Linked DNA regions of Caenorhabditis elegans. The protein of the gene in region 2 purifies or fractionates together with the protein of the main gene of each other region. This does not show direct contact. Each region holds a gene or a part of one and is shown on either strand. Other genes may lie near its edges.

Region 1 (5,119 bases), 420 kb from region 2:
TTCCACAGCTTACGCTTGAAACTTTTACATCATGAGGTCCTTGACTTAAAATTACACGTGACGGATGTAGAGTACTTCTTTGAGGAGCAGCTGTTGAACTGAATTGCACATGCTGAGCTCTACCAGGCTGTGCTGGTTCTGTAACCTCTCCACATGGTCTGCAAAGTCCACATCGAAGGCATGTTGACTCTCCAACACCGCAATGACACATGGTTCCCTTTGGTCGAGGAACTCTTCCACATGCTACTCCTCGTGCGGAGCAAAGCCCGCATTGAGCACATACCGAGGGTGTGTCAGTTAGCCACGTGTGTTCTCCGATAGGACAAATCTGATACTCTTGACGACCGGAATGTCTTGGAGAAGACGTGGTTGAAGTTGATTCAACTCTTCCACATTGATTCATATTGTTCAATCCCCATGTAAAAAGATGGCCATTTCGAGTCACAGCAACACCGTGAGATTTTCCAAGCGCTAATGAAGAAATCATCACATTATCCAGTCCATTTAACATTTGACTTGAAACATTCACTCTCATTGTATGAAGTCCTCCCATGAAAATCTTTCCATTTTCAGATACATATCCATAGACATGACCAGAGGCGCAAACATGAACAATTTTCCGGCGATTAGATGGAACAAGTCGACGTAGTCTTCCATTTCTTTTCTTATCGTCTACACTTGCAATCCAACCATGCCCTGCACCAGAACGAAACATTATTGTATCAATTCCAACAGAAATTTGAACTATTGGCTCGGGAAGACACAGTTCCATCCAGTTGTTCCCAGTTTCAAATAATCCGAACCTTGTCCCGTTTCCAGCGTAGTACACTTTTCCAGAGCGAGCTTGAATGAATGCCATTTCTCGAGTGAAGTGAAGATCAACAGTTTGAGCTGAAAATTGATATGTTCAAATTTCCATGTAAACAAAACTACTATTCTTACGATGAAGGTTTGCAGGTAGAAATTCGGGGAGTTGGTGAGGAACTTGAAGATCTCCTTGAATCGTGAACTTCACATCAGTGAGTCGATGACTTCTTCGTGATGATGGCTCATTGGAAGGGGAAAATGAATCATTTAGTTGAATTGTCTGAAATATGTTATTTATAAACTTTTTTGAGCTGTCATGTTATGTGTTTTTATTTCTAACAATAAGTAGAATTTTCACGATTAAAAGTGTTTAAAAATAGTTTCAATTAAATATCTTAATTTTTAATTTGAGAGAATAAATCCTACCGATAGTGTAGAATTGGCAATCAGAGTTGCACTGTAAAAGTATGTTCCATCCGTGAACAGTGCATGTTGTACACAACTTGGTGGTAGAATCACTTCTCCAATATCCAACAATGAATCCGTGTCAATCACTGATATGCATGATGAGTAATTTCTTCGTAAATACAATGATCCATTGCATAAATACATTTGCACATTTTTCGACGATTGTAAACTCTGATTCGCTGCATACAACTTTCCAGAAATTGTTTCATTCAGGCCGGTCCCCAACTTGTAGAGTCCAACATAATTAAGAATGTAGAGAAATGTTCCATCACATGCCATTGTGCTATGTATTCGATTGTCATCGTCGGGAGTGTCGGAAGACGGAGAGCTATCAGGAAGACTAGGTAGACTGAAACTGCTTGCTACCGAGTGCTCGTGAACATCTACCATTGCCCAGTTTGGTCTGAAATTTTGCATTTAATAAAATACTAATAAAACTATCATGGGATTTTGCAAGCTTCTAAGAAATTCTACTAAAAGAAGAAATTTGTGAACACAATACTACATATTTGAATACTTTCAACTTGAATAAAATACTCACGGGGAATTGGCAGTGTTGTCTCCGCCTAAAGCTTTCCTCCTCACTTTCAGTAGTAATTTTCTCAAATTTTCTGGCATTTGGATCATATCATACGTCGAATCGGCGCTCATTCGAATATTTTTCTTCATACAAATTAATGATCGAATTGTGCTTCCTAAATGCTCCGGCTCTCCACATGCAACTGATAAAGCCACAAGGCATGAGGTAGCTTTTGAGCTCACTGAGGGACAGGCATCTTCTCGAAGCGTTTTCAGAACGTGCATCATTGCAGACATTGATAAACGGTTTTCGGACTGAAGACAATCGATTGGCATCGATTGGATCAATGATAACAATGATTCGAGAGCTTGAACACAAAGTTCGGCGTCACGTCGACTTAATTGCTCGAGAACTTCGAAGATACATGTTAAACTAGCTCCAACCAGCTGATCAGTCTGAAAATTCATGAGAGCTGAACCATTTTTCACCTTTTAAAACAGTTTTTAATAAGAAAAAGTATTTCACACACGGGTTCCAAAAAGTTGTAGAGTTATATGTTCAGTTCCATTTTGAAATTTATGGTAATTTAGTATTCCAAAATTGTTTTATTACTCACCGGTTCAATTTCAAATAATTATTTTTCAAACCATATTCTATTTTTAGCGTTTAAAAAGGAAACAATTTTGAATCTAGCTGGGGGGATATCGTCAATGTGTAAAACACGGTTTCATAATTGTTTTTTCTGGTTTCCTTGCCGACCTATGTCCCAGTTTTGCAAGCTTCTTAACTACGTTTCGAAAAAAAATTTAGAAAAAATTTGGCTGTTGACTTTGAAACTTAATTAGAAATTTCAATGTATTTTTCATTTAATACTTTTTAACATTATAAAAACTCACATTTTTGTATTGCTTTCCCTCTTCATCAGCTCCACTGGTTCCGGCTTCCTCTTCGCTTCCATCTTCTTTTTCAGAAACTTCTTCTGGATTCCCAAACCGTGCAAGAATTGATTTGGCAATTGCTACTAAAGCAAAAGGCGAAGGTGGTCCCACAACAAATTTTGAGTTCAGAATATCATGAAAATTAATTTGTTGTTGCTGGTCCAGAGGTGTTTTGGATTTCTCTGAAATTAAAAATTATTTTTATTTTTATTATTTTATACTTCTCCAAACTACAAAAAAATATACTAACCTTCTTCTTTATCGAGTTTCCCGCAATGTGCTGGAACCCTGAGAATATCCGGTTTGCATGTGTTCTCGGCACATTTGTATAGCAATTTTCTCAGTCTTCGTGCACTTTTCCTATCTTCAGGAATCGACGTTTCGGTGCTCGTGGAACACACTCGTTCACCATCAATTTCTCGCAAGAAGAACGACATTTGGATATTCTTTGGAAAGTTAATAAAATTGGTTAAATATTGTGGATAGATTGATTCTCATCATTAGTGATCTGAAAAATTTAACTGTGGCATTTAGAAAAAAAAATAACAGAGAAACTCTGAGGCGTCAATTTCTCTGCAATTATGTGCATTCAGGAAATATGAGGAAAATTGAAGGAAAAGAAAACCATGAAACAATAACTAAATTTTAAGATCACAGGCTTAGTATATGCGCAGATGTGATTTTGAACGTAGCGCCAGTGGGATTTTTCTTGATTTTTTTAAGATTTGAAAGAAAATTGCAATAATTTAACATTTATCCTTACTTTTTGTCACAAAATATTTGAAAGTTTGACAAAAAAAAGGTTCGAATCATATCGCAGCTTTAAAAAATGAAGAAAATCGGATGAAGTTAGCAGGAAAGCGAAATTACTTTGATCGCTTATTCAAGAATAATTTAGGTACGATAATCCAACTCCAATTGAAGAAATTTTTTTTGAATTTTCAATTATCGTAAATATTATAGGCGTTTGAATGAAAATTACCCAAATTACAAGAAAAGAGGAAAAAGGGAAAATTGTGAAAGATTTTTGTTCACCAAGGAATAAAAAAGTATAAAGCCGAGCAAAAGCAATATTGACAGACTTTACTGTTTTCCGTTCGCTCACAAACCACGTGCCTATCCCTTGTTCTGTCCGATCACAAAACGATATTTCTCCGAGACAAAAACGTTTTTTTTAAATAAATGAACAAAATCTAGAACTCCGGGAAATTAAGTTTCCTGTCCGAATCATTTTGCTGATCTGCGAAAATCGAGGGACATTCATAGAAGAGACGAAGAGAAGAAGGTCCCACCCCCCGTAAAAGGGTATGCGCCCGTTTTGTTGAGAAAGGAAGAGAAGTGAGAGAGACACAGAAAGTGAGATGAAACCAAAACGGAGAAAAGAGAACGAGACATAGTGTTGTCTTTGTTGGAGACAGACTCGCTTGTAATGGACAGCCGGTCAGACATGAGAAATAGGACGCAAGGAGATGGAAACGGAGAGCAAGGGACGGGTGTCCCTAGATGGACGAAGAAGAAGGGCTCCGTGCGTGTATTTGTGTGTGTATCTGTGAGAAGTGTCGAAAAGCGGAGATGAGGACAGAAGAAGGAGAAAATTGGGTGTGGGTCCGGAAAAAAGGGAAAAAGATTTGAAATTAGATATGCCAGCTTGGAGAAGCTTTTGTTATTTCTTGAGAGGTATCCAAATCAGATTGTTTTTTTTTGCTGTGGGATATCTGAACAATATTCTAAAATACGGTATGTATTAAGTACCTTAAAATTTACCTGTTATAAGAGTTTGATGGCAGTGTTATTAACAATCTGAAATATAAATATGTATACTGAAATAGAAAAGTTGTTTTCAGCTATTCGAAAATAGACGTAGGTACATAAATAAATCTTGGATTAAGAAAGGTGTAAACAGTGACGTATGTGATTAATCGTATAAGCACCAAATTTTATCAAGTTTTTTTAAAACTTTATTGCAGCAAATTATTTTATTAATGTGGCGTATCCAAAACTATTAAAATTGAATACTTTTGATCTAGTGTTATGTCTTTCAATGTTGTCAACTGCTGAAACATCTGATATTCATCAAGAGTGTCTATACTGATCTATTTTGTTAAATATAATTTATTAAAAATTTCTGAAAATAATTGAGACTCTTGAAAAAATCCATTTAAAACAATCAAAATAGTTCAAAAAGTTCACATATTTTTATTGTTATAAAAATATAATAAAATTGCAATGTTTATCGAAAAAATGAAATTTCATAATTATTTAAACAATCCAAATTGTATAAACAGAAGGCACTCAATAAGTTCACATATGACTGAAAATTATGAAAAACTGGATACATGGATACATGTTAGAGATTTTGAAAATCGCATTGCTTTGTAATGTTGCT
Region 2 (5,153 bases):
GACCCAATAGTCCAATAATTCTTGTTGATTTTTGATAGCTGTCATAACCCATCAAGTGTGGATCAACAATAAAAGTTAGAAAACTTACAAAGCAGTCGACTGTTCCACACGAACCAAACCTCGCTCATTGACTACGAATATTCCAGCCAATTTGTGTGGTCGAGATGGCATTGCTACAATTCCGAGAGGACGCCAGTTAGTGGACGTGCGTACAAGAGTATACTCCAGACGACTGGACATGAACTGAAAACAATATTGAATTCATTTTTCTTCTCCCGAGTTCTGTTCTTACTCCGAAATGTAAAGCGCTTCTGATTTCATTATCATTCGAAACTGTGAACAACATATTATCACCAGCATGCACCATCCAAGTCTCTGGAGGTACTTTGAATGTTCGTTTCGAAGAATGTGCCAATGAATGAAACGTATTGTAGACTTCCACAATTGATTCGGTTGTGTCAAGTGCAACGACACCACATGAATCCGCCGCAAAGAACTGCATTGTTGCCGGCTCGAGCTGTAAATATTTAGAGATTCATGAAGAAATAAAATAAAAGCATGCTTGGCACGAAGTCAGCCGAAATTTTAGTTAATGCAGATATATCAAAACATTTAAGCCGACAAAAGTGTACAGAACATTTTTTGCAAATGAGAAGGAGCCAGCGATACAAACCTGACTGAAACCCGAAAACTCCGCCTCGGAAAACATCTGAATTGGGCAACTAATTTGTTAAGGCTATAATTAAACGGGTAGGGTATTATCAAAATTTCTATGTGAATTTCGTGTTGTTTAGAGACGACCTATGTTTATAACTTTTAAACTATTAGCATAGCGTTTTCATCCAGTACCCGAAAGAATTAGTGTAAAACCTTAGCTGCAACTTTCCCCTAAAAAAATACAATTTAGGTATTGTTAAACTTATAATATTAGTTTAAACATAAGAGCAGTGATATGCGATTCAGAAAACTTACCACAGTAAGATCTGATGGTACGCATGTTGTCAAAACTTCTCGAAATCCCTTTCCACTTCTTTCAATTGGAATTATCCATTGTGCACCAGTAAATCCCGTGACAAGCAACTCGATAGAGTTTTCATCAAGAAGAATGTCAATCTGGTGCAAACTTTGCGGTGCTTTCAACTCGGACACACATTTTCTGAGGTGAAGATCGACGAGAAGAATGTTCCCAGCCTGCAATTTATCATTAATTGTTGTTATCTTTGTAGATATTTTCGTTTCGTTTTGTTGCACAATTGTATGTTTTTTATTGTTTTCCATCAGAAACTAAATAATAAAACAAGAGCAGTCAGCTGCCATTCACTTTTTAAAACACGTTCATGATGGCATTCCATTCTGACGTTCCAATCTCTTTGTCACCGTAAATCACAACATTAGATATCCCTTCTCACACCGCTGGACATCACATTGATAATTATTGATGCGAAAAGAGTGATGGGCTCATCTAACGCAAAGTTTCATCACATAAAACTCACTTTATTTGCAACCACAGCCATAGTGCACGGTGGAAAATTGGAAACGAAGCATTTAGTGCAAGTGGGTGTGGCCAGGCAAGGATCCACTGTTGGAAGACTCAAATCAATTACAGTCGTTGTCGCCCACGAGGAACCACCCCACGTCACGTCCTGGAACAATTTAAAGTTAGAAAAACAAACAGGGTTTTTTGTTGAAATTCTTGTCATTATGAGAAGTAATCTATCAAAGTAATACTGGAAGAGAATCATCTGGAAGCGTTGTGGTACGAAAAGTCAGAAAACAAACAGATGACACACTATCGGTTTCTTTTGTTTTTCTGTTTTCGAACAATTGACACATGTAATTCGATATCCTGTGGATACGTAACACATAATGAGTTTTGATCGAAACTGATTTTTGGTTTCATTTGTTTTTAAAACCACAAATTAACATCAAGAACTTACGATAAGAAGCCTGATTGGAGTAACGAGAAGATTACCATCAGCAAGTCCAAAGATGGCGAATGCTGCTTGACTTCCTAAAACATAGTTTTTTCTTGTTTTGAATGCCAGATAACACCTTTAATATAGTTTAGTTTTCCGAAAGAGTTGGATAATACAAATCTCATTTTGAAACTAGGTATTGGCAAAAACGTTGTACTAGTTGATAAATGCTTCTCAGTAAATCGTTTATTTTTCTATGCATTTTAGAATGTGAAAAGTCTTAAACTTCAGTTTCTGCACCAAGTAAACAAATTTATGTAAAATGTTCAGATCTTTTAGAGACCCACTGAGAAGATACAAGTGTTTCAAGTTTTCAGGAATCTGTGTTCTTAATGTTCCACGTTGCAAAACGTGAAAACTTCCTCTTAATCTTTTTTTTAATTCAAATTTATTAGAATTACAACATGCCACGTGAAAGTTTTAGATAAGAAAATCTGATCCACGAGTTTCTGGATATTTTGAAATCATTGAAAGACGGTGTTTCCCGATTGGATAGTATAAAATATCTCTAGAACAACAACATAAAAGTCGGAGAAACAATTTCAGCAGTTGTCTTGAGGGTTAGAGAATTAAAAAAAATTTGTTTTTGAAAATTAACTTCTCAAAGTTTTTTATTATTTAAATGTTTAATTTAAGCAATTCAACTTACCAATGCATACAGTAACCGGGCTAACATTGAGGGAGCATGCCGTTTTGATATTTACAACGTTTTTTCTTGGCTTTGTGTCTCGACTTGTCTCCAAATAAGCTTGAACGTCTCCTTTTGACGTAAGCAGCAAGATTAGAAGAAACGAATCATCACTGAACACCGAATAGTCAATAATTGAATCATCGGCAGAGAGCTCGTCGAGTTCCAAACTGCACACGTAAGGATTTTCCATCATCTTTCGGCGGGCTGGAAAATTATCAAATTGAATTGTTTATTTGAAACATCCAATGAATCTAGAGCAATTTAAAGTTGTTCACGTTTAAAAAAAAAATATTTTCACAAACCTTTTTTGCCACTTTGTCGGTGGACACTTCCTTTTTGTGAACGCGCTCCAGCTTTGGTATTGTTCAGAAGTGGAAGCAATAATGATTCTGAAGAAGTTGACGTATCAGAACTTGAATTTGCCGATGTTTTACGAGAATTTGTACTTCGTTTGAAGAACATATTAGCGAATTTTGTGTGTGTATCCAGTTGGCCGTGCGGCTCTTACTGATAGTGTCTGACATAGACCGAGATTCTGGGATCCCTCCCCCTAGAGTGATTGGGGTGCCAAACACATGCTTCACAGCAATAAATTACCCTTTCAGTTGAGTGTATGAGGGTGAGATTTTCAAAAAAATACTAGCAGGGTTATGTTTCAGTGATTGACAAGACATTTGGAAGAGATAAATGACGAGGTATACCCTGAGCAAAAGAACAAATGGCACTAGTTAAAATGTCTGGTGTACTTTTGAACTGACTTCTTTGAAACAAATTTTGGAAAACTATTTAGAAAGGAAAATTAAATAAATATTTTGCGGTGAAAAAATTCGACTTATTGTCTTGTCTTATCAATCATATGACTAGGGTATCAGCTTGATAGGGAGTTTTTTGATGTGTAAAAGCGCAAAGAAATGGTAATAGATAAAACAATATAAAAGTTACAAAGCCATTCTATTTTAAAATTAAATTTATTCGTGAAGAGAAGTAAAATGAAAAATTCCCCTTTCACCCTTGTTTCTGTCTGTATCTTTTCACTCTCCCTTTTGTCCACTCTGTCTCACTCCTCCACAGGAAATGGGCATAGAAGACTGCTGACGCGTTTTTCGTGGACATAGGAAACATTTCGCGCTAAAAATGTTTCCCGCATTGTTCGATACTTCTTATAGTAAGTCAAATAATTTTAAATGGTATAACAATTGTAGATATTACCCTAATGCGAAGATTTATGGAGAAAGAATACGGTAACCGGTCTCGAAACGAATGAAAATGTTACATAAGAAAAAAGGAAAAGAAGTGTGTACCGTTGAGGAGTACATTAATTTTGCTCTTTTTAAGCAGTTAATTTTCTGAAACTAAAAAAATTATACTGGAAAACCTTCTTAAAATTATGCATCTTAGAGACATCCACAAAGGAAAAAAGTTTTGATTATTTTTTTTCAAAATTCGAATATCAATTAAATTTTCAAAATGAATGAAGCAAAAAAACTTAAAATTGAAGCGGAACTTGGCAACTGTCCACATGAGGAGACAGTGCATTGTCTACATCATTTTTCCTTGTCTCTCTCTCTCTCTCTCTCTCTCTCTCTCTCTCTCTCTCTCTCTCTCTCTCTCTCTCTCTCTCTCTCTCTCTCTCTCTCTCTCTCTCTGGGTAAATAATTAAAACGTTTTGCATGTTTTTTGCTTTATAATTAACAATTTTAAAATTGAGAACGTTTTATTTCTATTCGAGAAAATAAGTTATTAGGTGCTAAAAACCAAAACTTTCAATGATGACATAAAGATATATTTTAGATATGGAGCGGATAAAATAGCAAAAAAATGCTGTGTCAATTTGAGATATGTCCGCTTGATAACGGAAGCGCAGAAAGATCTGGGAGCAAAAAAAACCAAACAAAAAAACAAAAAATGCACACTGTGGAAATAAAAAAGAACAACGGAAAGAGTCACGGGTTTGGATATGACAATAAAACAGAATTTTCAGGAACTGGAGAGTTCTGGGACACAATAGAACAATTTTTGAATGAAATGTGTGAAGCCTATCCACACAGATTGAATGAATCCTGGACGGTATTTATTGTAGACGAAGAGAACGTAGATGGGAATTCCTGAAAGTACCAAGAAAACTCCGTAAATGAGTTCCCATGGATCACTGTGGAAGAATGGAAGGATCAAAAGAAAGAGGCACATAAGGAAAAACAGTATTGGCCACAGGAGACTGATTTTGATTGGACGGGCGTTTAGCACATTTTCAGGCATTGTGAATCTCAATTTCAAAAGCCCAGCGACAGAAGAGAAAACAACGAGTGATTCAGCAAATGACAGATAGTTAATAAGCTGGAACACGTTACCAATGAAGAGCATGACGATTGAAGTTCCACCAAGGAAAATTAATGATGGAATCGGAGTAAGTTGTCTGATTGAGATCATTGCAAACAGTTCAGGTAGTTGACTGTTTCGAGCTCCAGAAAAGAACATTCTGGAGCATG

What was found.
Region 1: the proteins of glo-4 (region 2) and rpm-1 purify together in Caenorhabditis elegans (affinity purification with western blotting, with the first as the bait; one study listed by BioGRID). This does not show direct contact.

Annotation. Positions count from the first base shown.
Region 1 is NC_003283.11:8,816,786-8,821,904, forward strand, and holds the start of rpm-1 (E3 ubiquitin-protein ligase rpm-1), read right to left. Parts: upstream 3,171-5,119; coding exon 2,984-3,170; intron 2,916-2,983; coding exon 2,692-2,915; intron 2,251-2,691; coding exon 1,817-2,250; intron 1,679-1,816; coding exon 1,234-1,678; intron 1,088-1,233; coding exon 943-1,087; intron 892-942; coding exon 1-891. Other genes in the region: C01B7.7 (T20D4.11-like domain-containing protein), read right to left, coding at 5,081-5,119.
Region 2 is NC_003283.11:9,240,036-9,245,188, forward strand, and holds the start of glo-4 (X-linked retinitis pigmentosa GTPase regulator homolog), read right to left. Parts: upstream 3,187-5,153; 5' UTR 3,130-3,186; coding exon 2,970-3,129; intron 2,872-2,969; coding exon 2,626-2,871; intron 2,012-2,625; coding exon 1,938-2,011; intron 1,644-1,937; coding exon 1,494-1,643; intron 1,192-1,493; coding exon 973-1,191; intron 518-972; coding exon 293-517; intron 244-292; coding exon 89-243; intron 1-88. Other genes in the region: aat-2 (Amino Acid Transporter), read right to left, coding at 4,645-5,153. UniProt on the Caenorhabditis elegans protein: Could be a guanine-nucleotide releasing factor for glo-1. May play a role in gut granule biogenesis. Regulates axon termination in PLM and ALM neurons.